4 linked regions of the Rhinolophus ferrumequinum genome follow. The protein of the gene in region 4 interacts with the protein of the main gene of each other region in a pairwise test. Links are inferred from orthologs where the notes say so. Each region holds a gene or a part of one and is shown on either strand. Other genes may lie near its edges.

The links.
Region 1: the proteins of BAG6 (region 4) and SPP1 interact in binary tests that used the Homo sapiens proteins (3 or more experiments, as listed by UniProt). The link is inferred for Rhinolophus ferrumequinum from reciprocal best matches to the Homo sapiens genes BAG6 and SPP1.
Region 2: the proteins of BAG6 (region 4) and ATXN2 interact in binary tests that used the Homo sapiens proteins (3 or more experiments, as listed by UniProt). The link is inferred for Rhinolophus ferrumequinum from reciprocal best matches to the Homo sapiens genes BAG6 and ATXN2.
Region 3: the proteins of BAG6 (region 4) and KLHL12 interact in binary tests that used the Homo sapiens proteins (3 or more experiments, as listed by UniProt). The two-hybrid records come from large-scale screens. The link is inferred for Rhinolophus ferrumequinum from reciprocal best matches to the Homo sapiens genes BAG6 and KLHL12.

The regions. Positions count from the first base shown.
Region 1 is NC_046288.1:41,878,508-41,886,448, reverse strand, and holds the start of SPP1 (osteopontin), read right to left. Parts: upstream 3,005-7,941; 5' UTR 2,848-3,004; intron 1,758-2,847; 5' UTR 1,744-1,757; coding exon 1,690-1,743; intron 1,578-1,689; coding exon 1,539-1,577; intron 1-1,538. UniProt on the Homo sapiens protein: Major non-collagenous bone protein that binds tightly to hydroxyapatite. Appears to form an integral part of the mineralized matrix. Probably important to cell-matrix interaction.
Region 2 is NC_046308.1:6,921,727-6,929,546, forward strand, and holds the start of ATXN2 (ataxin-2), read right to left. Parts: upstream 3,016-7,820; 5' UTR 2,884-3,015; coding exon 2,675-2,883; intron 1-2,674. UniProt on the Homo sapiens protein: Involved in EGFR trafficking, acting as negative regulator of endocytic EGFR internalization at the plasma membrane.
Region 3 is NC_046310.1:165,677-172,987, forward strand, and holds the start of KLHL12 (kelch-like protein 12), read left to right. Parts: upstream 1-4,298; 5' UTR 4,299-4,437; intron 4,438-6,821; exon of another isoform or gene 6,822-6,855; 5' UTR 6,856-6,894; coding exon 6,895-7,089; intron 7,090-7,311. Other genes in the region: ADIPOR1 (adiponectin receptor protein 1), read left to right, coding at 1-174, 467-595. UniProt on the Homo sapiens protein: Substrate-specific adapter of a BCR (BTB-CUL3-RBX1) E3 ubiquitin ligase complex that acts as a negative regulator of Wnt signaling pathway and ER-Golgi transport.
Region 4 is NC_046286.1:2,146,824-2,154,494, reverse strand, and holds the start of BAG6 (large proline-rich protein BAG6), read left to right. Parts: upstream 1-4,666; 5' UTR 4,667-4,805; exon of another isoform or gene 4,806-4,981; intron 4,982-5,446; 5' UTR 5,447-5,459; coding exon 5,460-5,573; intron 5,574-6,698; coding exon 6,699-6,816; intron 6,817-6,944; coding exon 6,945-7,141; intron 7,142-7,380; coding exon 7,381-7,434; intron 7,435-7,591; coding exon 7,592-7,666; intron 7,667-7,671. Other genes in the region: APOM (apolipoprotein M), read right to left, coding at 496-521, 918-1,016, 1,191-1,289, 1,377-1,450, 1,718-1,872, 4,409-4,525. UniProt on the Homo sapiens protein: ATP-independent molecular chaperone preventing the aggregation of misfolded and hydrophobic patches-containing proteins.

The sequences.
Region 1 (7,941 bases), on a different chromosome or scaffold from region 4:
TGGGATGTATCACCCGTGGCCAATCACCTCAAATCCCTGTCATTGAGAATGAGAACGCTAAAGTTCCATAGAGTTCCTTCACAGCCATCAAGGTGTTTGGGGGTTGGGCGGAGAAGAGGAGGGAGGAAACCAGCCATCATTTTGTGTTTCCCTATGGCTGGCTGTAACCTGAGCAGCTTTGGATTGGGCTTCTCTGAAAGTTTTTGCTGAAAGAAGGGGTTCCTTGCTGGAAAAGGTACGAAAAGCTACTGGTCTAGATGGGTTCAAAGTTTGCCTTTTTTTTTCCTTTAAAAATATATTTATATAAGTATTACATAGAAATATAATTTATATTTGTTATATACATCCTGATGATACATGCAATACTGGCTCAGGGAGAATGTATTTATAGGTTAAATTTATAATTAAAAATGTAAAATGAAAAAAATAAAGCTAAGCAAAATAAACAGGCTAAAATCCACCCAATAATTATAACACTCACAAATAACCAGTGTTCATCTTCAGAGGTATCTCCTTATAGACTTCCCATATTTTCTACTAAATTTCTAGGATTTTAAAAGATTGAACTCTTCACTTAACTCTTAATAATTATTTCATAACTTATACTGCCATGGCTTCATGTGCCATATTTTTTTTCGATTAAAAAGACACTAATTCTTGCATGACCTCTATCGTCTCTGAAAATGTTCATTTTTCTGGCTTATTGTTTTGATTCAATACCTGTGTTCTTAAATCAATTGGAAAACAGACCCACCCCCACACACTGACTTGCACACCCAACCACACACAATACCTCTCCTAGTGTCTTTATTAAGCAATCTAATCACAGTGACTCTGGGCAACTCTATATTGGCCTTTATTCCGTTCATGTGAATTGAACTCTGTGTCTTTTTGTCCAAGCTCCTTGGGACAATGACCATTTGTTGTTTGGCTGGCCCAGTTTCATCTATTGTGGAGGGGCAGGTACATCTCTGGTGTTGGTCAAAAACTTATAATAAAGAGTTTGATTTGGGCTGATGTTTGGTTAGAAAAATGTGATCTAGAGTCAGCTGACAAGCACAATAGATGCAAACAGCATAAATAGGCTTTCTTTTTATAATGGGCTTCTTAGCAAAAATCTTAGGAGATATTGTAAATATTATAGTCATATAAATTGTCCAATATGTGAGATGAATTGTAAAGAAACTTCCACTAAGTAAAACAAAGGACAGAATTTTCTACTTCTACAACAATATGTTGACTCTTGGAAAGGAAGTCTTACAACTTCACAGAACTCAGTTTACATTAGTGATAATAATGGCCTACAGCATTATTTTATTAAATAAAAAAATCTAGTTTGATGTTTGGAGCTTACATTTAATTAAAAATTATACTGTGCTTGGTATTGGCCTAGAATGAAAGCAGGCAGTCAATAAATACTTATAAATTAACAGGCTTGACTATGAAAACAAGTAAAATTGCAACAAATATGTTTGTGGTGCTTCTTGAAGCAGTTGGATAAATCATGTAACTGTATGATAAACCTATAAGATGCTTACCTGCCTTTCCTCAGAGCTGCCAGAATCGGCATGTTTAACCTTTGAAACAGAAAAGATGAAGAAAGGTTACAATGTGAATGTGTTCCCAGTACATGAGAGTGTACAACTTATTTATTTTGAGGAATTTTCTTTAAGCTTCTGTAGTACTCACTGGAAGGGTGTAGGCGATGCCTAAGAGGCAGAAGCAAATCACTGCAATTCTCATGGTAGTGATTTTTCCTGCAAAAAATTTGTAATGAATATTTGATCACAGGTTAAAACGGTGATACCTTTTTATGCTACCACATTACAAAATAACCACAAATAAAATATATTTTTTGTAAAATGTTTTCTACTTCTTAGAGAACCCTTTTCTTTTTAACATAATGGTCTTTTGAGTTACTATTTGTAATGCCGCCCTTATTCTCCATCTTTCACCATTAGTCAAGGGAGAGGGGAATTTTGCAAGTCTATATATTCAACTTTTAAATTTAGACTTTCAGAGATTATACCATTATTAGATGATATGGCCAGCTATCTAAATCTAAACACAGCTCAACAGTAATTTAATTAAAATAATAAACTAGTATAGGAATCTTTACTTTTCAGAGAAGAAAAACAGAGAGAGAAAATAAAACCATGAAAGAAATTTGCTTTCTCTATTTTTTCAGCATGCATTTCAAATGTGATTTTTAACTTAAATTATTAAAAAGGTACTACTTTAGGTGAGATGAAGCTATCTCTAAAATGAGTTATTTAAATAAGTTATTCTCGAATTTGAAACAAAAAAGGAAACATTGAAAACAGTCAACAGCTTTTCTATTTGTGATAATAAGTCTACATAGTGTCAAACAGGTATTTTGGTGAAAATTTTAACAGCTAAATACAGAAGTAAAATATTTAGAAAGGGTTTTTTTTTCCTTGAAAATAGGATTAGTCAAATAATTTTAAAAATTGTGCTATCATTGCCTTACATTAACACTAAAGATCATTGTCCTTTTAAATGCCTTCACAATCATCTATCCATTTACAATGAAATACGTATAATCATTGCACAGGAGCACAGAATTTTACTTTTTTTTTTTTGGATTGGAAGAAGTAGTTTCAGTCCTTTTAAGGACTCAGTGGAAGGAATTTTAAGTTTTATATTTGACTGGCTTTCAAAATAGTTGGTCACCTATCCTCTGTATTCCGGCATGCTTACTCAAGACTAGAACAATTTAAATCTGATCAGCAGCAGTACAGTTAAACTCTTTTCCTAAGAACCTGACCTCCATGAATTGAAACTGAATGCATAGGACAACAGCAAAATAGTAAACTGCAGGCTTACCTTGGTCTGAGGCGGGCTCAGAAGACTGTAACTGACCTGAGAAGAGAGTCCAGTCCCAGATGGAGCTGCACTCCTTGCTTCCTCTCTTGCTGCTGACAACCAGGACCTGCCAGAATTTAAATGCTGCTCCAGACTTTCCCCACCGACACAGGGAGGCGGAGAGATGTGTCATGAGGTTTTTTTGCCACTGGCCAACCCACTTGCTCCCACACTTCCCCCTCTGGTTTTGTGGTTAACACACACCCCCACACCCACACATACACACAAGTTAAAACATTACTTATTTACAATATCATTAACTAAATTTTTTTTTATGGGAATGGCATTTAGCATCATGAAAGGGCACCTAGGGGTCCCATCAAAAAAGGGGGAAAATGACTAGTTCTTACAAAGACTTTATAATTTCTGAATTAGAAGAAAAAATATTAATACAAATAAATCTTAAATAAAATTAAATAGAATGGGTCTTGCTTCTTTCAGTTTAAATAACAGATTAGGTAATATATACAACTACATTTGCCTTGCAGTTATACTTATTTAAGAGCTACACGGCTATTGTTCAGGTATACAAAGAGCTCAGAGATCCTCCCTCCATCCTTTACTACTCAAGCTTGGTTTTGTCATTTCAAGTATGCAGCAGCTTGTCATTTAGACAAATGGTATTTATAACATTAAGATCTATGTTCATGCCCATTAAGTTGGACTTAACAATGACCTTTCAAGGATTTTTGTCACACTGTTTGAATAGTATGGAGGTGATTAATTTGATAACTTGCTATACAAAATAAAAGAATGTAAAAGAATGGTAATTTACTTTAGATGCTGCAAAAGGAAAGTGGTGTCTAACAGCACAGGGTGACTTTTTGAGAATGCTGCTTTGGGAGCCAGAGAGTGAGTGGTTTTGAATTTCACTCTGCCACCTAAATAGCTGTGTGACCTTGGGCAAATCACTTAGCAGACCTACACCTGTTTTCTCATCTGTCATATGCACACAGTTACCTAGCTCATGGGGTTTTTAAGAAGTTAAATGAATTAGTATGTGGAAAATGAAAGTGCTTGGCCCATATTATATGCTTATTTTAAGCATTGTGTATGTGTTAACTGTTACTGAAATTTAGGAGGAGCAGGTCCTCATCATTTGCAATGTCTTTAAGTGGAACGAGTTATTTGGAATAAGACTAGATGTTAAGATTTTAAACTGTGTACATCAATCGTGTAATTTACACACTTCTAAAGGAATGGATTAGATTTCTGAATCATCTTTTTCTAGTTTTTCTCCCAGAATATATAAAGTTGATTACTTAATATGAAATTGTAAAAAAAAAAAAGTCTATATTTACCAAAAAGTTTACTGGGTATTTAAAAGGTGTTTGAATGAAAGAAAATTGCACGTGAAGTTTGAATAATGAAATAGAAATTAGAGGTAGCACAGCTCTGAGTTCATTTAAATGTTTAGTGTTGTCTTGAGATTTTGTACTTAACTTCTTCATCTACCTTTCTCAGTTGTGAAATGGAGATTCCACTATTCATTTTCCTCATATCGCCATTGTAAAATCTGTGTGTGAAGTAAGATTAAAGATAAATGGCCCCGTTTATTATTAGTTCTATCTAAGGTGTCAGCTTCTATTGACCAAATATTGCTTTTAATATAAATATGGATAAAATGATTTCTTGCAGTGTTAGTAGTATAACTAACCCATAGATTTCAGGGGAAAATATGTCTCTTAAATTGTATGTATTCCAAATGAATTGATATTGATTTGTGGGTTCTAAGCACACATTTTAGTAATTCAGATGGCAGCTATCTCTATAAAATATAAGACACACAGCTTATAAAGTTGCAAAACAGACTTCTTATTTCCGCTTTTAAAAACTGTTTTTTTTTTTCTCTTTAAACACATCACCCACATAAGTTGGTCATGTTGTCAATTTAGTGGGGGGGAAGTTCACAAATTCTAAAAACAACAAGATTTCCACAGTATTCACTATGGTTTACTCTGTGCCCACGGAAATGATTTAATATGAACTTAGAGAGTTATAGGAATAGATTTTGCTGGAGGCCAGCCATCTTGCGATGAACTATATGACCCACCCCAGGACTCTTCCGGTCATGACTACAAAGTGCCACACGATGGCAGCATTTCTGAATAGGATTTCAGACCACAATCTGGTCTGTCAGTTTTTTTTTTACTCCGCTGGCTAGAACATTCATCTATTTAATGACAGAACTCTCAAACAGCTGGGGGGCAGGGGGAGGGCTCCATTTCTTGGAATGCCAGGTGAGTAAATATTTCCCAACAATAACCCGCTACACAATAACAGGGGACACAGAGACCAAGAGAACCAAAGCATCCTTGTTCTGCTCAGTGGTTGCCTTCAGCAATTCCCAGGAGGCCGCTATCGTCTCCTTTCCCACTTCCCACACTCACTCAAAAGGTTACTGATCCCGACGTCTCACTCAGAGTAAAGTCTTATGAATTCATGGTTAAAGAATGTGTCTGGGATGCTTCAGAGATGAGAAGATAACGTGATTTATAATGAAGGCAGTTCTATGAAGTATGAAATGGATAGTGTGTTATTCTGACATTTGAAGAGGTTCTTGCTTCTTACTTTTTGTAATCAAACATGCTGCTGACACCTGATTTTTTCTGAGTAACATTTTCCAACTGTCAGAATTAACATTTTAAATGATTTGAAACAGTGGCTTGATCTGTAACATTTTCACACTGTTTCCATTCTTGATTAGGCTGATCCTTGGTTGTTAGAATCAAAACTCAAAATGACCAAAGTCCTTGTAAGTTTTGTATGTGGGAAGGAAAAATTTTAGTTGTTAACAGGAATGAAGACTGGCTTGTGATCATAATCTATAGACACTATAAGAGGACATATGGAAACAGATAGAACATTTTGTTTTTGCTTGAATTTCATGAAAATTCCCATATAATAAAAATTTAAGTGTCCAGAAGTCACTGTTTTGGTGAACTTTATTACTAACTTCTAGTTTATTTGATTTTTCCAATTATATTTTACTTAGTATAGTATAATCAACTGTTTAAACTCTTTCAGCTCTATAAATAATTATTTTTTCCCTCTGAGTCAAGGTTCAGCTGAAAATCTGATATTTTGATACCATCACCAAACTATCATAGACAAGTTGGGCATTATAGCCAATAATAGATATGCCTACCACAATATTCATCATTTACAGTCCAGGGAAAAGGGACATTATTTATTAGAGGAAGGGAAACAAGGGTGAAAAATAAAAAGGTGCTGTTTTTAAGTTCAGACATGAAATTAAAATATTTCAGTAATACAAAAAAGAAACACCATACAACTTTTTATCCCATTGTTCAATAACTTAGTAAACAAAATTCAGTTGCGGATGAAATGGTCTTACTATTGATAAACATTAGTTTCACTTCAAACAAAAGAAAAACGGTTTCATTTTAGATCCACAGCATTGTTACAGAGTAAGTAAGTATTCCATAGATTGTTAATGATTAACCACTCACTCTCCATCCATAATAATGAACTATGAACATATGGTTCTTACTGATCACTACAGTGCATGGGCACCATGTGTCAATCCATATATCACATATTGATCGCTAATATTTGCCAATACTCAAGAATCTAGCAGCATTCTTTATTAAAGTATATGATCATTAACTTTGAGGATATTCTGGCACTCTTTAAATAATAGAGTCTCTAAACTGGACTTAAATTATTAATATTTTCTAAAAATGACACCATTCTTACCCTTATGAAGCCCATTTATTCATGAAACTCAACTAAGAAATTTGAAACTGGAGTAACCAATGAGGTTAAGGGGTGTGGTTAAATAGTAAGCTCAGTGGAGCTGTGGAAAGGGAAGGCATAGGGTGGGGACATTGTGTCTACACTGGAGTTGAAGGGATGAGTATTTTGGGATTGAGCTAAAACAGGAAGTCTCTCTTCCCATCCAAAATCAATCATGGTAGCATAGAACTCTACCTGCAGCAACACAGGCAACAATCCAGGAGCCTGAAATCAGAGAAGATCCAAAAGGGGTGGGGGAGGTGCAAAACTGCAGCTAGAGATGTACATAGAAAGTCTAGCAGTTGGGGGCCCATGTTAGAACAGAAAATACATTTTGCTGCACTAAGCAATCAGTGACAGGCATTTTGCAGAATGTATTTGAGCAGAGAAAAGCATCCATTGAAATCAGGTTATAAGAATTTTTATTTAAAAATCTGATGTTTGAGTAATTTTTAGTGGAGGATCCAGTATAAGGTTGATATGAAAAAGAGACTATCTCAGTGCAGAACAGAAGAAAGAAGACAAAAACTGGACAACAAAAGAAGTGGCTAGGAGCATTTCAGATCTTGCTCCACAGCATATGTCATTAGTTGGGCTCAAATAAATTTTTATGAAACTTCAACAAAGGAAAAAGCAGCTAAATTATATTTTCCAGCCACACTTGGCTAAGGGTTTTTGTTTGTTTTACTAATTCCAGTTAAGGAATACCTCACGTTAATGCCCCCTGTTCCATGGTGTAACATTTATGTTTTTTAAAAATATTATTTAAAATAATTAGTAATTAAAGCTTGAGTTCTTTAATGTTTTAATTCCTCAATAGAATGCGAGTTCTAATATATGCTCATCCCTTAGCAGTTTATGTGCCAACAAATATTTATGCAGTAATGAAAAAAATTAACTCCATAACAAAATGTATATAATTCTTAAGTTTATTATTTTCTGTTGCTTTCATAAAGCTCTCAATAGAACTTCTCCTGTAGGTCCTATTGGAAGTTGCTGTCAGACAGAATGGATTACACCTGACCTCAGGCATGATTCCTGTGCACCAAGATGGCTGGTCAGGTGAAAGCTATTTTTTTGCAGAACATGAGGTCCTCTGAGATCTGGCATCCTTCATCTTTCCAGTCTTATCTTTCACCAGTCCCTCCTTATACTCCATGAAATAAGCACACAGCTACTCAGAGCTCCCCAATAGGCCATGCGATTTCAAGTTTCTACACCTTTGCTCACATTGCACCTCCCACCTCCTCTAAAATACCCTTCCAGTCCCATCCACACCTGCCTGTGAAATATTTT
Region 2 (7,820 bases), on a different chromosome or scaffold from region 4:
TACTGCACCATTACCTATAATATTAGCAAAACTGTGGAAACTCAATTCCCAACAATAGAATGGTTAAGAAGAAACCTAAAAAAAGAAAGTTAAGGAGAAAACAAAGCTCAACACCAAATAACATACACAATCACTAAAACTACATAAAAATGAAAAGGTAGAAAGTAAAAATAAGAAAAGGATTAAGGTAAAATTTTGTCCAAACTTTAATATTGTGGTTACATTGTCCTAAAAGAGCCACCTTCTGAAATATATATGCCAATTAAAGACAAAATAAATTTTTGAAAGTCATGAAAATCCACCATTCACCAAAACCCCAGAAGTCAAATATGAAGAAATGTTATGTTATGTAAAGCGGACATGTGAATTTCTAGACTTTCAAGAGTATTTTGCTATCTCTAAACACAATGCTGCATTTTCTTTCTCCACCCTTGGCCCCAGAAACTTCTTTTAACTGCTCATACACACAAACCTAAGTGAGGACACTCTAGAAATTGTAACTGTGATTCAAAAACAGTGATTCCAAACTAAAGAAATTCTACAAGTACATTAACTAAAGATCTGCAGAAGAGTAAAATTTCACATTATGTGGGTCCAATACATTAAACAAAACTTCACATATCAAAAAGAGTAAGGGCTATAATTTATGCCTCACGTGAAAAGTCAAAGCCTAAGGAGAGCCAACGCAACTTAAAAACCTTTTACTTTTTAACTATTTGAACGAGTTGAATTTATGTGCCAGATTTCTATTTGATGCCAAAGAAGGAAAAAAAATGCATCCTTACTAGAAAAATTGTATTTAAATTTTTTCCATTTTTCATTGTGGATGCCACAGAGAAAATGAAGCTATTATAGACTCCTTAGTGGACAGAACTGGGTAAATAGCCATTTCATTTGAATTAGTTTGGCTAAGTAGCTTTTTGTAGGTGTTTCTGAGAAGGGGAAAAACTGACGGGGCGAGGTGGGGGGAGGAGTCAAAAAACCCAATGTCCCCATTCCCCCCATTGAAGGCTGCAGAATTCCTTAAAAATCGGCTCAGATTCATTTTGATGGGTAACTTCTCCTGCCATAAATGAAAATTCTCTGGAAATGGATTGCTGAAAACCTGTTTTTAAAAAGAAAACTCAGTGTACGGGGAAAAGAAAATCCCTTTATCCCACCTTCTAAAGGCCAGGATGTCGATTTGAGGAGGACCCTGGTCACCAACCCTGTCAACCCCACCTAGGCCTACGGGAGGCATGGCAAAGCCGGCAGCACGGATGGGCTGGGGCACAGGGGAAATGGACTTGCGTGCCCTTGGTGAGCGCTGGCGGCACTCCCCAAGTTAAGGACACTGGCCACAATGGAATGGAGTCTATTGACATTTGCTTTGAACACTAAGCATTTTCTTGGTTCGTGAAATACGAACTGACAACCCCCCCCCGCCACACACACACACACACACGCGCGCGCACACACACACACACACACACACACCGCCCCACAGGCCTTCCCGCACAAACACACCCTCCAGTCAGACCCGGTTAGCTGAGACGACACCGAGCCTTCAGTGTCTACCACAAACCTGGGTTATGGGGAGACGACGCAAGTAAACACCCGCATTTCTGCCACCATGTCTCCTGCTGCAATCCCTCTCCCCTCGAAATTTCAAAAACTGGGGCGGGGGTTGATACAAAATGCGCAGCGTGCCAGCTCCCTGCCGCCACCAGCACTAGCACCACCACGCCAGGTCCCCAGGCCGGCCCGGGCTTCTGACGCACGCCTGGGGCCGGCCCTCGCCCACCACTATTCAAAGGCGCCTTCTCCGCGGCCTCGGAACAGCAATGCGGCTCGGCCACCACCCGCGCCGGGGAGGCCTTGCGGGGGAAGGAGGGAGGCCGGGAGGGGGCCGGGCACTCCCCACCCCTTCCTCAGGTGGGGGAGGGCGGAACGCTGCGGGAGGCTGCACGGAGCGGGACGATTCCACGGAGTTCTGGAGCCCCCGCCGCCGCCTTGGATTTAAATGGGGAGGGGTGCGGGGGGGGCCACTGCCCACCCACCCCAACCCGGTCCTTCGATCTTTCCCAGGGCAGGGAAGGGGGAGGTTGAGGGCACTGGACAGACCCTAACGATTCCAGATGTGCCCGGTGGCTGCCCCGTTAACGGGGAGGGAGGGGGCGCTGCCCTAACTTTCCCCCTCCCTCGTTATTCCCCAATGGGGGAGTTGGCAAGTTTCGGAAGACGGAACCAACCCTAAAGACCCTTCCTTCCACATTAGTATTTAAGCTGGGGGTGGGTGCGCTGCCCAAGCACACCCCACTGGGGGCGGAGGAGGCCTAAGGAAGGTGGAACCGGGGCTGACAATTGCTGCGACCTGTAAACCGCTCCCAAACACTTAAATGGAGAGGAGGCGGCTGCCCAGTCCTTCCATCTTGACCGTTTGGGGGAGGGGGTGCGGGTGTTGCAGGAGGCTGGACACGGCCTGACATTCCCAGAGGGATCCCGCGGCGCCCCCCACCGAACCCCCCAGGCTCCAGACGGAACGGGAGCCCCACCCCCACTGCGGGCCCCCAGCCCACCCCCCCAAGCCCAGCGGGTCACGGGGCGGGGACGGCTGTGAGGGCCGCGGGGGAGGGGACGCGAGGCCCGGGCTTGTTCGGGCCCGGAGCAGAGGGGCCTGGGGCGCGACACCCACCTGCCCAGGCCGGGCCGCCCGCCGCCTGCGCTCGCCGCCGCTGCGGAGGAGGAAGCCGCGGCCGAGGACGACGAGACTGAGGGCGAGGACGGCGACGGTGCGGCGGCGGGCGACGAGAGAAGGCCGCCGCCGGGTTTGCGGGCACTAGCGGCCGCAGGCGGCGGTGGCTGCTGCTGCTGCTGCTGCTGCTGCTGAGGCTTCAGCGACATGGTGAGGGGCCCATACACCGGCCCGCACGCCGGGCGGGGACAGCCGGGAGCCGGGCGCGCCGAGGAAACGCCGGAACGCGGCGGGGACGCGCGGGCGCCGAGCGGGGAGGCGCGGGTTGGCGCGGCCGGGGGGACGCCCGGGCCGGCGAGAGGGAGAAGGAGGACGACGAAGGGGCGGGGAGGCCCGCTGAAACCGAGGAGCCGCCGGGAGCCGGGCTGAAACGCGCCGCCGCCGTTGCCGTTGCTACCAAAACAGTCTGAGGCGGAGGGAGGCGAGCGCAGCCCGGAGGGAGGGGGGCCGGGGCCGGGCGGGGGAGGGGCGGCGGAGGGATACGGGCCCGGAGTCGCGTCGCTGCCGCCCCGCCCGCCCCGCCGCACCGGCCGCGGGAACGAGCGCCGCCCGGGCCACCGAGTCGCGGCGAAGCGGCGAGGCTCGATGGTAGCTGTGGGGCCCCGAGGAGCTGCGGCAGCCGAGCGCATCGGGGGCCGCGCACAGAGAGGCGCCGCGTGGCGGTGCCGGGTGGGCGCGGAGGTGCGGGACGGGGACTCTTTACCGGAAGTCGGAAGGGTCGGACGGAAGCAGAACGTGAGGCGGCCCCAGGGCCGGGAGGGACACGTGAGGAGCGGGCGCCGCGCTGGGCCGCGTCCGCGGGGGTCGGGTGAGGGCCCGGCGGCCAGCCCTGCCCGGATCCGCCCTCCTCGAGGCGGGTCTGCCCTTTGGAGAGGGCGTGTCTGTCTTCGCCTGCAGGGCTGGCCTACTGTGGAGGACGGGAGGGCAGCGTTTCTTTCCCGCCCCCCAGTATTCCTTCAACGCCCTCAGACTGCTGGGGGAACCCGCGATTGCACCCACCTGATGCAACCTAAAAGGTGGACTGCAAGGGCCTTCAGGGCCGAGACTATGTTTTGCTACGTTTAAAGCACCTTCAACACAAGCATCTCACAAGTTTTCTTTGTATCCCCAGCACCTGGCACACAGTAGGCTGTGTCAACTGGGTGTCTCAAAGACAGGCCGTCATCTCTTTTCCTGCCAAGACCAACTGTGTTGGAATCGCACAACCTCCTGGGGCCACCCACATCTGGTTACCTTGTCCCCACTTTTTCCACCCCAGCAACACAGTAACCAGAAAACTCTTTTGGGTATCTGACCTTCATTTGAACCCATTTTCCCTCACTTGAACTTCTTTTTCCTCATTCATGAGGCTCTAAAGGAAATAAATGTACGTGATTGGTAGAGCTATGGATAATGGGGTCTCCTTCGGTGGAAACAAAACAGACTTCACAAGAATGTGCGAACTTTAGACCTTGGCCCCTTTCGAAGTTTTACTTTAACTTAGCTTGCTAGCCAGCACAGTAACCCGTTTTTTAAATGTGTTGTAATTGAACTGGAAGCAACTAGATAACTTTAAGTGAAGAATCTAGTTTTTAAAAAAAGTGCAATTACTTTAGGAAATGATAGGAGGAAAACACCAAAATTCCCCCTCAATCTCCCAGAATTGTCAGATAAAAAGATAGAGAGATAGAAAAGCCTGGAGAATGATTAAACCACGAATTTCCAGTAGCCAAATTGAAATTAATCTCCTTTATAATTCAGCCAGAAATGCTCATTATATTCTGCAAACACCTGAAAAGGAGGAAATCAGCTTTATCTCCCACCTTAGGTAAAAAGGAGGCGTGTGTGGGTTGGGAGGGGAAGTAGCATTCTTTTAAACCAGTAGTTGCAAAATCCTTTAAAAATTAACCCAAAGGAAATTGAGGCTAAAAAAACCAGATGGGGAAAAAAAATAGAAGGACTATAATAAAAATACAATCAACTTTCTGTGGTTTAATGATTTGACAGTTAGCCATATCAGGGACCAGGTTCCCAGAATTCAATCTTAGGACCTAATTTCAGACAGATGGGAAGAAAAAGGGAAGTGGAATGAGAGGCCTGAAACTGACATAGCTGAACTTGACTTCATTTATGCTGAGTAAGCCCAAGTTTTCACCCAGTATCATTTAAAATATAGTTTTACAGTTTTATTAAGGTATAATTTACATGTTATGACATTCACTCCCTTTGTATACAATTCAGTGATTCTTGGTAAATTTGTAGAGTTGTGAAACCATAACCACTCATTTCAGAACATTTTCCTCACCCCAAAAGGATCCTTCATACCCCTTTGCAGTTACTCCTGGTTCCCATCCTCAGCCCCAACAACAGCTAATCTACTTCCTGTCTCAGTGGATTTATCTGTTCTAGACATGTCATATAAATGGAATCTAACAATAGGTGGTCTTTGTCTGCTTTCTTTCATTTAGCATAATGTTTTTGAGGATTATCTGTGTCATAGCATGTATCAGTGTTCCACCCCTTGTCACTAAGTAATATTCCATTGTATAAATATACCACATTTTGTGTACCTACTCACCAGTTGGTGGACATTTAGATGTTTCAAGTTTTTGGGTATTATGAATGCTGCTGCTATGAACATTTGTAAATATATGTCATGTGGACCATAAGTAGATGCCTAGGAATGAAATGTTGGGTGGTATGGTAAATTTATATTTAACTTTTTAAAGATACTATCAAACTCTCTTTCAAAGTGACTGTGCCGTTTCACATTCACACTTGGAATGTTTGAGCGTTTATCATTAAATTTTGATTTGTGCTTTCATGTTAAAATAGAAACCGAGAGAATCTTTACTGTCATTCTATTTTATACAACCCCCCATTTCTATTTATGGAAGGAGGATTACCACCCAAAACCAAGGAAAATTATTATTGCAAACCCTTCACTTGAATTCTAGACCTCTGAAGTCATGGTTATTTAACAACAACTGTAATGTCAGAGGGCTTTAGCTTTATATGAAAAATCCAAACAATGCACATTAAGACAAAATGGTGTAAAGTGCAAATTTTAAGATGACCCTGCGTAATCCTATTCTGGTGTTCAGACCCTGTGAAATCCCCTCTACTTAGATATGAGCTGCACCTAGTGGCTTCTTTCTAACAAAAAGTTAGAAAAAAAATTACAGGTTTCCACTTCCAAGTTTAGGTTATAAAAAGACAATGGCTTTTGTTTTGGACTGCCTTCTCTCACTCACTTGCTTTGAAGAAACACAGCTGCCATGTTGTGAGCCACCCAATGGAGAGGCCCACATGGCAAGGAACTAATGTGTCCCACTACAGCTACGGACCTGAGGCTGCCTGGAGCCGTGTGCGTGAGATTGGAAGGGGATCATCCCCCAATCAAGCCTTGATATGACCTCAGCCCTGGTCGATGCAACTTATTAGGCTTTGTTAGAGACCCTGAGCTAGAGATGCCCAGCTAAGCTGCACCAGATTCCTAACCCTTTTGTTGTTTAAGTTAATAAATTGGGGGGTAATTTGTGTGTGCCAATAGATAACTATAATAATATAGATGAACCCCCCCCAAAAAAGTGCACTTCCTGTGATTTCCCTGTGCATTCTTTTAAAGAATTTAAGAATTCTTTAAAGACAAATGCTGAAGTCGGGAACAAATATTAGACCCAGGAAAAGTTGAATGTTTGAATGCCCCTTCCCCCACCCCCAATGATTTTCAGGTAGCCATTTAAACAAAACCAACAAGGATCATTGCAGAGTTGTCATCAAAGGCAATGAAGAACATTGTCCTGAAAGAGTTCTGATGTTAAGAGGTATTCTTAACATTTTAATTTCTAAAATAGTGATGGCCATTTCTACCACTATTTCAGAAATGAAAAAAATATCAAGTGAGAAACCATATGAAGACTTTCAAACTTGGGAATCTAGTCCTATGAATTCTGTACTTGCTTTCTGATTTTCAGTGACCCTTCAGCAAGCCATGTGGCCTTATAATTTTCATCACTTCAATGATTAATCAAGTCTGGGGATGAAAAACTGATGTAGCCATGCAAAACAGAATTGCAAAGAATGATTTGCTATCACTTGGTACAGCAGCACACATCAGATGATCCAGTATTCCCAGCAATTCATTTTTCTGCAATCATTTCTTTTCAGCTCTCTTCATTTGATCATGTTTAATGTATGATGATACATAATTCACTGAATACTCTTGATTTCGCTTTCAAAAGCATGAAAATTAATTCAAATAAAAACTAACATGCACAACCCCCCCAACACACCCCCATCCATCCTCTTCAAGTTTTTGCAAAGACCAATCCTCATTTAGAGAGAGAGAGAAAGTGAGCAGATGTAATTTCAAAAATAGGACCATGGCTAATTAAACCAGTGTTTTTTTCTAACCATGGTTACTCAGAATTCTTAGAGGCTAATCTATTTGTAGACAACCCAGGAATCCCAAAAGACTAAAAGCAATAAAAAGTGGGGAGGGGGGACGGGGGGGGGAGCAGTTGCTCCCCCCGGAGGCATTATTTATACACCTTGAGTGTGAAGTAACAACTTTCCCATAGGTTTGAAAAAACTGAGGGGTGTGTGGCAAAATAGTAGCGAATACAGCAACATTATTTGAAAAGCTTTTAAATGAGCCCTTGCCTCCACACAAGCACACATCTAGTTGTTAAGTTGCTCATTTTGTTTTACCTTGTGGGACAGATTAAGGATGCGGTGACATAATTCACAAGGCAAAGCTGGGTGCCAGCTGAAATAGACACAGAAGAAAGAATTCTTTATTTTTCATTGGAAAATGCTTGTGCTGTACAGAGCCAGAAATTTAAAGAAACTCAGCCTTTTTGTTCTTCCTCTTTCTCCCTTTTTGTTTTCATTCACCAACACCCCCACCCCCTTTTGGGGTGAATTTTGTGGGCAGCCTGTTGTTTCAGGGGCCATAGATTTATGGGAAGCCAGAGATGTGAAGTATGCACCATTTGGAGAATTCAGGAGGGGATGTAAAATGGATGCATGCGGCCCCGGTGGCAGCTGAACTGCCGTTAGCATGGGATCTTGTTAAGTTTGCTACAGGATACCGTGAGCCCTA
Region 3 (7,311 bases), on a different chromosome or scaffold from region 4:
CTGAGCGGTGTGGTACCCACGATGCATTTCACCATCGCCGAGGGCTTTGTCAAGGCCACCACGGTGGGCCAGATGGGCTGGTTCTTCCTCATGGCCGTGATGTACATCACTGGGGCCGGCCTCTACGCGGCTCGAATCCCTGAGCGCTTCTTTCCTGGAAAGTTTGACATTTGGGTAAGAAGCGGCTCCTCCCTGTGATGGGTGGGGACTGGCCTGGAGTTAAAAGGGCAGTACGAGACTTCGGGTCGGGCACTGTTTGTGGTACATACATATACATGGGAGAAATAACCAACATTAACATTTTGGTGTATTCCTGACAGGACTTTTAAAATTTTTTCTACAACAGATATATCACTTTCATGATAAAAAATTTTAAGGTGCAACTAGGAGAGGTAAATGCTTTCTCCGCCTTACTCCCAGTCCTTCCGTGCCACTTCCCTAAGGACTCTTCTCGTTGTCCCTACAGTTCCAGTCTCATCAGATTTTCCACGTCCTGGTGGTGGCGGCAGCCTTTGTCCATTTCTACGGGGTCTCCAACCTGCAGGAATTCCGCCACGGCCTGGAAGGCGGCTGTACTGATGACTCACTCCTCTGAGCCGTCTCACCGGAGGGCGGGAGGGACTTCCCAAGTGCTTTTAAACACAACTTCTTTGCTGAAGTGACAGGAAGAGTCTCAGTTGTCTGTTTCTAGAGGAAACCTCTTAGAGAGTTGAGTCCGAGCAAGCTTCAGCCCACTTCCCACCCTGGGACAGTAAATTTTCCATTTCCCTGGCTGAGGGAAGGTGGGGGTGGCCACACGTCACCATGCCCCTCCTTGGCAGTCCCCTCAGCAAGGCGACTCTGTCCCTGCAGAGTACTTTGAAGCTCATGTTGAGATTTTACCCCTCCTCCAACCATTTTGGGGAAAAGTGATGAACTGGGACTCTTCGGAAATTCTGTTTCTGGAAGAAAAAGTCCCTCCCTTACCGCGTCCTTACTTTGTAACCTGGCTTATAACAGGCCACCGTTTTTGTAGCACACTTTTCAAAAACAATTGTAACCGGTCCCATCTTTCCAGGGCCTGAATCTGCTTACACAGCAGGAAGAATAGAGTCACCAACTTTGATGCAGCCCGGCTAATCATGCAAATGTGTCCAGGCTTCAGATAACTTGAGTTTCAATGTTTTTTTTTCTTGGCAGAGTAATGTAAAATTAAAAAGGGGAAAGATATTTAATATTTAATACTAAGCTTTAAAAAGAAATCTGCTATCATTGCTATGTATCTTGATGCAAAGACTATGGTGATAATAAAAGAAAGTACAGAAGACAGTTAGTGTCCAAAGACTTAACATGCGTGGTCTCAGCCCTCTGCACTCTTGTCCGTGGGTTAGAATCAGCAAAGTCATCTCAGGCCCTGCTGAGGCACACATCTGGGTCCTCGGCATTGCTCGGCCAGCACGCGTGGGCCGCGGAGAAGCCGACTGAGTTCCCAGCATCTGCTCCTCAATACAGCCTTGTTTTTCTCTACTCATTGCACAGAATTTGACGAGAGAAATTCGCACACTGTATCACTTTGTAGTCGTGAGAAGGCCCTCAGAGGTGTCAGGCTGCGTCCCTTTTGAGTATCCAAGGTCAGCACATCTGAGAGCTTAGTTCCTTTCCGACTGCCTGCCATGCTTACGGTTGTGTCGTCAGGAGGTTAGTCCATGCTTTCTGTGCAGTCGTACAGTGTCACCTCCCAGCTAACGGGGGCAGTTAGGAATCTTCCTGAGTTACAAAGATGGGTTCACGTCAAGGTTAGGTTTGTACACTGGATGAATAAGGGATCCTTTTAAAGAATAATCTGACTAGGCTGACAAACAGGAAGTTTCTCAACCTCACGTGGTAATCAGGGAAATGCAAGCTAAAACCAAAGTGTGACTCCACCTCCTCCTTCCGACTGACAGATTAGATAGAAGCCCTGACACTGAGTGGGTGTGGGTGTGGGATGCCGTTGGGAGCAGGACCAGGGTGTGTGGACATGCGTGGCGTGTGTGTACGTGTGGCACCCCCAAACAGTTCATGAGAGGCCATGAGATGGACCTGAAGTCCACCCCGGATTACTTCATTAAAAAGCACTTGTTCTGACCACTAAACTGTTTCCTTGACAGCTCACGGCCTGACTTTGAAAAACACTACTCTTGAGCAACTTGGCTTGTATCAAAAGACTCACTATAGCTGTGTGTAGGCACAGCACACAGCAAACGAGGCAAATGTCCACAACTTGAACGGAAAAAGAAATCTTGGTTTAGCCGCACAATGAAACACGACTTAGTTACAGTGACAACAACACGGTTGGGTCTCAAAGATTAGGGGGAGTGAGGGGAGCAACTTACGGAAAAATCTATCAGGTTCAGAAGTTTGCAAAACCAATGCTAGTTTAAGGGTATGAATATGGTAAAAATTCAAAAGGAAATGTTAATTTAGGCGCATGGTGCCCCTGAAGGGTAAGAACTGGAGGAGAGGAGGGACACACTATTTCAGAACTTAGCTCGTTCCTTGTAACTAGCTGGTCAGCACATGGTGTTCTTAAACCATGCGTATTTTTTCTTGCATATATGTAGTAAGGGTTTAACAAGATGAGCTGATGGCAGAGCACACACTGGTGACCTGCAGGGTGCAATGTTCACAAACGCCTGTACGCTGGGGACAACCAACTGCAGCTCAGTGGCAGCTGTGCCCTTTGTGGAGGGGTGTGCTCTCTGGTTCACCACACTGCCTAGTCCCTGGAGGCATGTTTGCAAGCTCTCCTGTCGCATCCGATCCAACGCCATCTTCCACAGGAACTACGGAGGCCGGAGCGACTGAAATCCGGTGTTTTCTCATTTTCAGTAGGAGACAGGACCAGGGAAAGAGGGTCTGAGACAAAGCGTTTCTTGAGCATGTACTTTGTACTTTGCGTATGTCATTTTGTATCTTTTTAACCCTGTGAAGTAGGTGGTATTATCCCATGCCACATGTGAAAAAATTAAGGTCCCAAAAGACTAAGACTTTTTCCCAAGATGACAGATAGGATCAGAGCCAGTATCTGAATCCAGACCATTCTGAGTTAAACCCCATGTTCTAAAGCCTCCGAAAAGTTCAAAGGCACAAAAAGAAACAGAGGGAAAAACCTCCCTCCTGCCCTGTCTTCCAACCAACCAGCCACATCCTTTTGCCAAAGAAACGAATGTTACCACTTCATTTTCAATCTTTCCAAATGCATTCTATACATATACAATCAAATAGGAATATATTTTCCCAACCTTTTTATGCAAATAATAGCAAACTAGATGCACTGTTCACAACTTCAGGGTATTGGAGGGTGCGCTCTACTTTATTGAACCAGTCCCCTACTTACGGAGGTGAAGGTGGTTTTCCATATAACCTACGACGACCTTGCACACACGTTACTTTACGTGTGCAAGAGTGTGTATGAAGGAGAAAAGATAAAAATCTCAGTTAAGGATATCTGCATTCGTAACTTGAGTGAACTTTTCCAAATGCAATAGAATTTGTACCACTCCTGCAGTTCACCCCCAGCGTGTGAATCAGGGATAATGTGAGATCGTAGGGAGATGATGCCAAAGATGGAAAGGAAACACTGTAAAATTAGATTGCTGCCCACTTGCCTATGGTTTTATCCCTAAGGAATCAAAGGCCCGAGAGGGAAACAGTGTCATCAAACACAATGTTTGGACAAAAATGGGGTCAAGGAGCCTGATCCCCTTGCCAGCCAGTCAGCTGAGTGCGCCCAAATCGGTCAGAAGCGAAATCCCTAAAGGGGACGCCCCGCGCCCCGGAGCTGGAGACGTCGGCAGACGAAAGGGGAGATGAGGCCTCCTTGGACTTCTGATGGGTTCCTTCGCACGTCCCTCAGCGCAGGGACCAACGTCCGGCGACCACCAGTCCCTTCCACGAACTGTCTCGGGGTGCGAGCAGCAGAGAATCACCTGCGGGACGGCGGCGGGCCCCACTATGATGCAGAGAATGCGGAGGTCAGGGGGTCGCAGGGCGGCCCGAAAGGTCACAGCCTGGAAGACACCTGCAGCCTCCGTGGCCTTTCTCGCCGTGAGAGCGTCCCTGAAGCCCTGGCAGGTGAAACGTGCCCCCGGCCATCAGTGCCGTGGCTCCCGGACCCTTCGCGCCCTCCCAGCCGCGGGATCTCGGGGACCAGCTCACTGTCGGCCGCCGCGGGAGGCCGGGCGCCCAACACCTGCGGGTCACGTGCCGCCGCTGCCCCACGTGACGCGGCTCCGGGAGGGGAGGGGCGGTCCGCGCTCTGCGACGTCATCACGTCGCGCGGCCGCGGGGACGGCACCCGACGAGCGGGGCGACGGCTCGCGAGGCTCCGGGTCGGGGCGGCGGCGGCGGCGCCCGGGCTCCTGAGCCGCCTGCTGGCCGCGCCCATCTCACCCCATCCCCACGCGCGGGGCGCAGGTGAGCTGACGGAGGGCGTGGGTGGCGGTGGGCGCTTCCTGCCGGGCCCGACCCGGGTTCCGGCCCTGCCCGCCTGTCCTCCCCGCCGAGGGCACGCAGCGGAGGGGGCTCGGCGCGCGGCGCTCAGCTCCGCCCGCCGGGACCCCAGCTGCGGTGCCCGCCGCGTCCCCGGTGCCGTCGGGGGACACTTCCTCCTCCTCCCGCCGGGGTTCAGCTGGGCCGGAACCTGACGCCCTCCCCGAGTCCTCCATGGTGCAACCCCCATGCAGATGTTATGGAGGTTCTGGGACAGTGGCCTCGGGAACGGGAGGGCGGAGGAAGTGCCGAGACTTGGCCCGGCGAGGCAGGCATCCCCACGCCGCGCTCGAGCTACCGTCGGTGTGACGGGCACGGAGACGTGGCCCGAGCCTGTGGGGACCCCCCAGAAAGCCTCCACAGTCCATGGGCATCTGTTAGACCTTTCCTCCCTCCGCAGCGTCGCAACTCAGTTGGCTTCAGGAAAATCTTTTTGAAAACATCATATGCTCTGATGACTCACCTCCTTTTCTGTAAAGTGGGCCCCGCAGGGTTGCTGGAGGGATTATCTCGAGTGTCACAGAGCAATACGCTAGCTGTAAACAGGAGGACGTGCGATGTCGGTTTTCCCGTTCAAAAAGTGTGGTGTGAGTTTTGGACTCTTGAAGACCCTGGTTTGAGGTTTATTCTTGGATCATTTCAGAAAGTTTTGGATTCCAACTAAGACAGACTTAACCACCCCGTTTCATTCCCCAGAGTTGTCATTGATGAAGAAAAGGAAAGAAATAGTGTCACAAAGCCTGTCACGTACAGCGCAACACGGGCAGTGAGAACGAGAAGGGATGGCGAAGGGTTAAGAAAGAAACAGAAATCAACAGAGTTTTGAAAGGGGCCAAGGGTCTCCCAGCCTCAAAGGACTGCGAGCCCCGAATCGGGCCACCTTGTGGCTTTTATTGATTCACATACAAGGAAGTCGCATTGTTTTCTCCACGGTCTGTGGGTCTCATACACCACACCAGAAAACTGGTTCAAACCGATCACCCTTGCCTGCCGAAAGTCCCATGATGTATAATTATTGTTTGTACCTCCCCAGGGGACAAAACCTTTATGTTTAAAACATACTGAGATGGAGAACTGATGTTATCACATCTAGAACCACTTCCCAAGCAGGTTGTGGGAAGGAATACAGCCACAGAGGCAGAAGCTCTCCTTAGACGGGGGAAGTGGAAAGCTGTACCCTCCTCTATCAACCCCGTGAATTCTCCTGGTGGTCCCCACACAACTGTGCCTGTCTTGGGTCGTTCCTTTCTTGAGGAATCTTACCTGTCATTGGCTAGCCAGCCATGCTTTGGGGCCAAACAAGGAGATGGCATGAAAGGAAACAATGTCCCTGAAAGGAATAGTCTCACAGACTCTTCTTTCTTTTTAGGGGTAGGCACGAGGGGACAGACGGGCAGGCAGCTGCATGACAACAACCATTAAGAAAGTACTTTTTTCATTTTTTGATGTGTAATCTATTACTACGTTCATTCAAGTGATGCGTGCTGGTGAATTTTGCAGGTGACTGACTGTGGCAGTAAAATTAGTGGGCTTTGGCTAAGTTTGTATCCCGAGAAGGCTGTTTGTTTTGGTACAGAGAATTACTACAAATATTAACTTGTTGGTGTCGACGGACATTGACTGATAGCGTAGAGTAGGAAGACCCTTCTGGAGAAGAGCTTCAGGCAGGACCTTAATCAACTGGAAGCCCACACACAGGCCTGCGCGGTTCGCATCACTCAGTGTAGGTAGCGGGTCCTCATTGGCAGTTTCGTTTTAAAAGGAATCCAGATACATTTGGAAATCACCATAAATGATTCTTTGCCTAGTTCTTTAGAAAAAAAGTTTATTTTCACTGACTGGCTTTCACAGCTCTAAGGTGGAGGCACAATTTCTCTTTTCTTGAATGCATTGACTAGGCACTTACTGTACACCTGCCTGGACAGAAAAAATACATAACACAGGATCCCCACCCTCTCCGCACTTCCCCGTGTAAACTACTCGTGGGTGTTGAATAACATGTACGCGCCTTTAAGAAATTTTGTCTTTTCATCATTTTATCATTGGAGATAACAGCCTGTTGTAGATGAGCCGGACGTGTAGTTTCTTTCTATTTATAATACAGTTGAGTATTGATTATGATAAATGTCAGGAGGTAAGCGTACTCAGAGAAGAGATCATTTTTACTTGGGTTACTTAGTGGCTGGATTGTGGGGGTGATGCCAGGAATGGGGGTGCTCTCTGTTTGTTGTTTGGTTCTCAGGAAGCCTCCTTGAGCTGTAACGCTAATTGAAAATGTCCTGTCCCCACCCCCAACCCCCATCCTTCAGATATGCCCCCTCTTTTTTTCTCTTGTATTTGCAGAATCCCAGGGCCCATTTCATTCTTTTTCCACGTTGCTTGATGGGAGGCATCATGGCCCCCAAAGACATCATGACAAATACTCACGCGAAGTCCATCCTCAACTCGATGAACTCCCTCCGGAAGAGCAACACGCTGTGCGACGTGACCCTCAGAGTGGAGCAGAAGGACTTCCCTGCCCACCGCATCGTGCTGGCTGCCTGTAGCGACTACTTCTGCGCCATGTTCACGAGCGAGGTGAAACTTGTAACCTTGCGGTCGGCTCGCTTCATTGGCTCAAATCGCAGTTCGACAGAACAGTGGATTTCTGTAGGTGGGATTGCCATGTTTCCCCAAAAATAAGACCTAGCTGGATAATCAGCTCTATTGCATCTTTTGGAGCAAAAATTAATATAAGATCCGGTCTTGTGTTAGATAAGACCGAGTCTTATAGTAAAATAAGACCGGGTCTTATATTAA
Region 4 (7,671 bases):
AGGTGGGTGGGTTTGGAGTCTGGATGGGGCACACAGGTGACAAGGAACCTGCAGTGAAGCTCTGGTGTTCCTGGGAGCCAGAGGGGGTGGGGACGGAGCAGATGGCATTGGTAGGAAGGCCAGCTTCGGGGCTGGCAGCCCAGACAGGCACTGTGGGGAAGCACTGGAGCTTGCAGTCCCCACGCGGGGGTTAGGGGTTCCCCACTCAGCAATAAATCACTGTGTCACACCAAATCCTAAATATATCACTACAAAGAGAGTTACTGCCACTCAGTGTCCTTCGTGATGCCGTCCAGCTGGAGATTTAGGTAGTAGAAGGTTCAGGAGAATTTTGAAATGGGGGGAGTGGGATTGATGTCTGGAGACAAACCCCAACATATGATGAGGATTGGAAAGCCATCTTTATTACTCTTGAAAGGGAGTCTCCAGCTTCTCTCCCCCACCACAATCTTAGCTCCCACTGAATCCATTTGGGGGCATAGATGAAGCCACAGGTCAGTCTTTGGACAACTTGCAGGCCTCTGGTGGGAGGAGGGAGAAAAGAAGAGGATGGAAAGGAAGTAAATCCAGGGACAGAAGCAAGGTTGCTGGTAATGGCTGGGGAAGAATGCATTCCCTCATTCCCTGTGTCAAAGAAGGGGTCTCGGTGACCTGTTTTCCTCTGCGTCTGCTCCTCTGCCCCCTTTATCCACTGCCAACTCAGAAACCTCTCTTATGAGTAGCCCAAAGCCCACCCTGGCTCCCTCTGGTGCCATCACAACCTATGACACAAATGGATGTGTCAACACACCTGGTGCCACTCTGATGATGTCAGCTTTGGGCCCTGCCCTCTGATGACATCACTTGTCCCTTTCATCCAGCACCCACAGAAGACTTGGTGAGTCCCAGTCCTCTTCTGTGGGACTTTACACTCTCACCTTGTTTCCTGGGAGTCAGTAAGAAGGCCTTGGAGTCCAGGCAGGAGGTCAGGGACCGGAATTCCTCCACACACTTCTCGGGAGGGTGTGGCAAGCGATCTGGAAGGGCAGAAAGGCCAGGCCCCATCAAACCCTCTACTTTTCAGCACCGCCCCTGGTGAGCACCTCCTGGAAGCATCCAGCCCTTCCTGGGATGATGTCACAGGGCCCAGAGTGAGGGACTCTTCTGCCCCTCCTGTGTTTCCCACCAACCCATCCTGCCTCCCTACTCACTGTAGAGGAGGAAGCGCTGATAACCCTGGCCCGTCTCTTTCAGCATGATTCCACCTGGGCAAGAGCTGGAGAAGAGCTTGGTCTTCATGTCTGGGCGGCCTGTCAGGGTGGGTTGGGGGGAAGTGAGAGGACAGAGATGCAAAACCAGGCAAGCCCAGGAGACTTGGGGAGCTACAGAGAACCAACCTTCAGTTCTGAGATCTGTGCTCCCTTCAGTAAGGTGGTAGATCCATTCCCGGGGCACACAGGACCCATTTTTCCTGCAAGGAGGAAAGACTGAGTGACATCCCCACCACACAGTACCAACCTTTATTCCCTCTTATTCCTTCTTGAAGCCCGGGTCCCCTTGGGTTTCAAGCTACCAAGGGATGGTTAGGCCCATCTCTCCGCAGAGGAAAACTAATAGAGCTGTTGAACTCAGTGGGCTAAAAAGAGTGAATATGCCAAACAGCGCAGCTTTTTGTGGGTGGGTGCTCACACTTTGGGCAGAGGCTGTACCTCTTGGTCCCTGCCCCCTCACCACTCACGTGCGGATGGTAGCATGGAGCTGGAGCTGTGTGGGTTCAGAGCCCACAGCCATGTTGAAGACAATGTTGTCCACAGGGTCAAAAGTCGCCAACTCCTCCTTGGTGGGAGCTGCCCCTGCGATGAAGTACCACTGGCCCAGGTGGGGCTCTGGGAACTGGAGAGACAAGGGGAGCAGAGGAGGGTGGGTCCCACTACAGGATTCATCTAACCTCTGTCAGGACAGCAAGACTTAGGGGCAGAGGTGTTGGCTGCCTTTTTCCAACTGGGGCTTGGATCCATGATAGGGAGTCATTAAATGACTTTTCCTCTTTGCCCTCAATCAACCTGAGTAACTACGCCCCCACCCCCTGCTTCCTGCCAATTCTACCATGTGTCTACATTGATGGGCATAGTACTGATATTTTTTTACTTGTCCTTGCTTTCATCATCACAACACTCACACTGTCTTCCTCCTTTCCTTTCCCAATGTGGCTTCCGGTCACCCTAGGCCACCCACTCAAGTCCCTCATAGCCCCCGCTATAAGCGTCCCCCTTTTCTCCATACCTCTTTCCCATCTACTCCCTGAGTTGTCAGTTGACTGTGCTCAGGGCACTGGTAGATGGAGTTAAGGAGAATGCCGTAGAGGTAAAGTAGAGCTGCCCAAATTTGGTGGAACATCTTCAAGCAATAGGGAGCTGGTGCTCTGCGTGCAGTGGCTGGTGCTTTAACTGTTCTCCGCTGGCTGCTCAGTCCACTCTGCTTCCAGCCCCCTTGCCTCAACCCTTGACCCTTTTACCTGCTAATGAGTAACTTCAACCTTGTTTTCCAAGTATGGAGTGGTTCGGCCCTTCCTCCCCCTGTCCTAGATGCAACCACTCCACAATACCCCCTGGCATGTTCAGGGTCTTTGGGGAATTATAAGGAAGCTGAGTCCTGAAGGTAGAAACCTGTGTTCTTTCAACCCATATCTGAGCTGGATGTCTGCTGTGTTGTGCAGCACTGAAGAGAGGTGGATTGATTGATTCATTCACTTACGGTAGCAAACTCTTTTGAGTTCCAGCTGTTTGCCAGGAACTCGCTAAGCCTTGGGGACGTAAAAATGAGTAAGACACAGTCCCTGGCCTTGAAGAAGTCAGTCTAAGGAAAACTAGCTGTGTAAACAAATCATTGCAATACAACCTGGTAAGTGCTTTAGAACAGATATGAATCAGGTGCTGGGGCATGGTTGATGGGAGGCTTTCTCTCTGAAGTTTATAATTGGGGAAACAACATGTACACCATCCAGAAAAGTTCACTGACAGATGAGTTCACTGAGTTTATTACTACAAGAGGCTCCATAACCTAGTAGTTAAAGATGATAGACATTGGTGTCAGGCAGAATGGGCTCAAACCCTAACTCTACCAGTTACTAGAACTTGGACAATTTTATTAATCTCTTATGCCTGTTTTTTCACCTGTAAATGAGTAAATCATCAATCTCATAGGCTTAAAAGAGACAATGCATAAAAGCCCTTAGCAAAGGCCTGCACATGGCAAGTCCAAAGTAATTATTTGGTAAAATTAATAGTAATGTTTGTAAAGCACTTATAGCTTCCGGTGGGTAATAAATTCTCAAATAGGAGGTAAGGAAAGAATTGTCAAGAGGCAGTCATTGGATAATGCCAGTTGAGTTGGGTGGAGTTAATGCAATGAAAAGGTGGCGCTTCCTCAATCGATTTGTAACTCAAGACTGACAAAAGATTTGTCCTGCGAGGTGAGGCAGGCTTAGGGTATATGAGGGTGCATTATACTATTATTTTTAAGCAATATTTGACATTTTAAATAATAAAAACCAATTTATTGGGGCAGTAGAGGTGCCTGACCCAGAAGGGTCTAGTAGGCCTGGATTTGTCAGTTTTGCCACTTACGTTGGCTAGGTGTACGCACTATATAAAATGGATGTAGTAACTATCTCAAGCGTTCAAAGGCTTTTAAATGTGACACTACATAAAACCCTTAGAAAACTGGCTGGCACAAACTAAGTGCTCATTAAACAGGTGTTTATCAGAACTCTTACCTGAAACAGTACTGGGACATGGGTATAGATAAACAACGAATCCCAGAAAGGCTGGGCGCCAGGGGCCGGCACGCCGCAGCGACGGGTAAGGCTGGGGTTGTGGCTGCGCAGAGGGGCCCAGACACTAGCCCGAGGGCGGGGGTGGGAGAAAAGGGCAGAGAGGTAGTAACTCTCTGGACCTTAGCCTACGGAAGCACTTTGGCGGTCCCTTCAATTCCCCAGGGTCAGTTTTGTGTTTTGGTCCAGTCGAACTTCATTTGCTCCCAGCTCCCAAACTCAGAGGTACCCCCCCGACACTTTTTTCTTTTTACAAAAGTCATGCAAGGTAAATCCTTAGTTTCTCCAAAACATGGCGTATTCCCTCGGCCGCGCACTGCCGGTGAGGAACATGGCGCCCACACTCCGCAAAACGCCCACCAGGCCGACCCGAGGTCAGGCCCAACGACTCGTCCGCATTCAACACAGCTCGCGAACCACCCCTAACCGCCTAAGGAAAGGGTGACTTCGGGAGGCGCCATAGGAGTGGCGTAGCGAGAGTGAGAGAGATGGAATTTTAGGTGGCCAGGACAGTGCCGTCTCAAAGTCTCTGCGGACTAACATAGGTTAACGAGACACAATCCTCAGTCGCCAAACTCCAAGATCCATACAACCGACCAAAGCGTCTTGAGACAGTCGTAGTCTCATCTGGTGATTTTTTTTTTTCCAGGCATTTGTAGTAGCCACCTCAATCTCCCACTGCACAAGCGCGCGCCCAGAAGAAATTAACAGCATCAGACGATGGGGCGGTGCCTAACTGTGTACGCATGCGTACTGCGATGCACGCAGGCGCAATACGGCCCCTCGGGCGACGGCGGCGGCGGCTTCTCGGGGTGCTCGGCTCCCTCCCATCTTGGCCGGCCCTGCCCGTCTCGCCCCAGGAACTCACTGTTTGGGGCCGCGGACTTTCTTGTCGTGCCCCAGGAAAGTAAAGCTTGGGACCTGGGGGAGCCGGAAGTTCCGCCTCGCGATTTCCAAATACTGTCGGGGAAACGGAAGTGGCCGTCCGTGGCAGGTTGGAGGAGACCGGAAGTGACGGTACCGGGGGGAAGTCGGAGGCGGAGCCGCAGGGTGGTGTGTGTGTATTTGGTGTGTGTTGGTTGCGACGCTCTGCTGGAGAACCGAAGGAAGGCGGAAGAGGGGGGCAGTCATCTAGCCAGTCTGGCCCCCCGTGAGTGTTCGTCATCTCGGGTCTGTCGTGACTTAGGCGGGTTTAATGGGCGTGGCGCGCGTGCGCGAAACCACTTTCTCCGCAGAGTCTAGCGCGACATTCCCTCCACCCCACTCCTCCCCGCTCTCGCGTTGTCCCAGGGTTTGCCGTCTTCTGGGGTCCTTGTTTCGCGACCGGTGATGACACTGGTCTCGCGCTTCCTTCCCTCCCTGCTTCCTAGCCCGACTTGCCCTCCCTTATTGTGATTGGCATCGTGGAGCCCCTCCCACCTCCCCGTCCCCTTAGCTCCCTGTGCGGTCCGTGTCTTGCCCATTGTGTTTTTCCCTGTGCCCCGGAATCAGAAGGGGGATGGGGGCGGGTGTGAGTGTGTGTGCTTGTGTGGGAGAAACTCTTTAGGTATTGGGGCGGAGACTCAGGCCGGAGAGGCTTCTGGGTATATAAAATCTGCTCTGGGCTACAGCGGGCCTCTCTCCATTCTTCCTTAGAGAGCTGTAGGCCATGGAGCCCAGTAACAGTAACAGTACCAGTACCACTATGGAGGCGCCTGACAGCCTGGAGGTGCTGGTGAAGACCCTGGATTCTCAGACTCGGACCTTTATTGTGGGGGCCCAGGTGAGACCCCAGTACTTCTGGAAGACAGTCATTTACCCTTTCTCTTGTAGGTCTCTTAGCCTGAGAGAAAAACCTGATTTTCTGGTCCTCAACTTTTCTTTCGTTGATTCCTTTGTTCATATTCTAGACAGAACATTTTCTGATGTTTCTTGTTGAGTGAGAAGGTATGGTTTCTGTTGAATGAGGTAGATTTTGTTTTGCCTTCCTCCACCTTGATAGAACTCATTGCAGAGGGAAATAATGGAGGGAGGAGGAATCTGTATGCCATCATCTTGAGTGAACTGCAGCTCAAAGGCACAGACATGGCTCCTGCCTTTGGGAATGGAAACAGAACACAGAGACCCCAAAGACAAGTGTGTCTTAAAAACAAAAATTGGTCAGGTCTCTATAGTGTGTTTTTAAAAGCGAGAAATGAGAACTGGTAATGCAGGTAGATCCTTAGTAGACTGTTGAGGGGAATAACTAATGTTTGTGGTATAATTTGAATCTTTGGAGCTCAACAACATGGATACAAGTATCCATATTACTACTCTTGTAATATTTGGAGACAGACTTGTGAGAGGTTGGTCTGTGGTTTTTAAAACACAGTGTTACGTGTATTTCAGAAAACCATGTAGGTTTTTGTGATTATATGTACGTAAGCAGCCTGATACTTCCCAAGAGTCAGTTGCCTAATTAGGAAAAATGTTTTTCTTTTTTGCTGCCTTCTCTCTTTTTCTTCCTTAACCTGATTGTCCACCCGATTTTCCGTGTTGTTACTATTATCTTTGGGATTAGAGTTGTATCATTTTGTGTTTGGGGAGGGATCACTGGTATCTTTAGACACACATTTCTTTGGGAGCCAGGCAAAGGAGTGAAGGGAATGTCAGTTGGCTTTTCTGTTTCTCAGCCATGTACTTTTCTCCTAGGCCTAGAAACTGAATTTCCTTATGTTCATTGTCTGTTTTTGACAGGAGTTGTCTGAGTTTGGGGCTTTGCGCCATCCTTACCTCACAGTCAAGACAAGTGGCTAGTGATTTTATAATGGGATGGTTTTTACGCTTCACCCCCAGAAGTCATTTGTCCCTCTTCTGTCCTTCCTCTTTCCTTCATTCCCTCATACTTGTGTGTGTCCCTTCTTCGCAGATGAATGTAAAGGAGTTTAAGGAGCACATTGCTGCCTCTGTCAGCATCCCCTCAGAGAAACAACGGCTCATCTACCAGGGACGAGTTCTGCAGGATGATAAGAAGCTCCAGGAATACAGTAAGGGGGTGGGGGAGGCATTTGAGAGGTTGAGGTAATTGCCCAGAGGGATGAGCTGAGATGGAGGGTTTACCTGATCATACAATGTTTTCGTGTTTGTTTTGTTTTGTTTCACTTTTTCTCCCCAGACGTTGGGGGAAAGGTTATCCACCTGGTGGAACGTGCTCCTCCTCAGACTCAGATCCCTTCTGGGGCATCTTCTGGGACAGGGTCTGCCTCAGCCACCCATGGTGGGGGACCCTCATCTGGTCCTCGGGGGCCTGCGACCTCTGTTCATGACCGGAATGCCAACAGCTATGTCATGGTTGGAACCTTCAATCTTCCTGTAAGCTTGTGTTCCACATGGGATGGTTTTTGTGGGGAAGGGTAGTTTTGGTTGTGGTAACAGCAGAGGGCTCTTAAGACAGGTGTCGCAGTCTTTAGATTGGGGTTGGAGGGCCCTGCGGTCTGCTAATAGCCGCAGTCTTGAGGGGAAAAAGGGTGGGGCTCCAGAGAATGAGTTGAAAGTGTGGGGGCCTCAGTATTTGGCTTCTCCCAGAGCAACTTCCCTTACCCTTTCCCCAGAGTGACGGCTCTGCTGTGGATGTTCACATCAACATGGAACAGGCCCCGATTCAGGTATCATGGGGCCTGGGAGGGTCAGCGAAGGGGATCTGGGAGAAGGAGGCCGTGAGGTGGGTCGGACCTGGTTGAGGAGATGCTGGGACCTGGTTCAGTAGGCTGTGGATCTCGTGGCTTCATTTCAAACCTGCCCTGATCTTCCCTCTCATTGTAGAGTGAGCCCCGGGTTCGGCTGGTGATGGCTCAGCACATGATCAGGGATATACAGACCTTACTTTCCAGGATGGAGGTAAG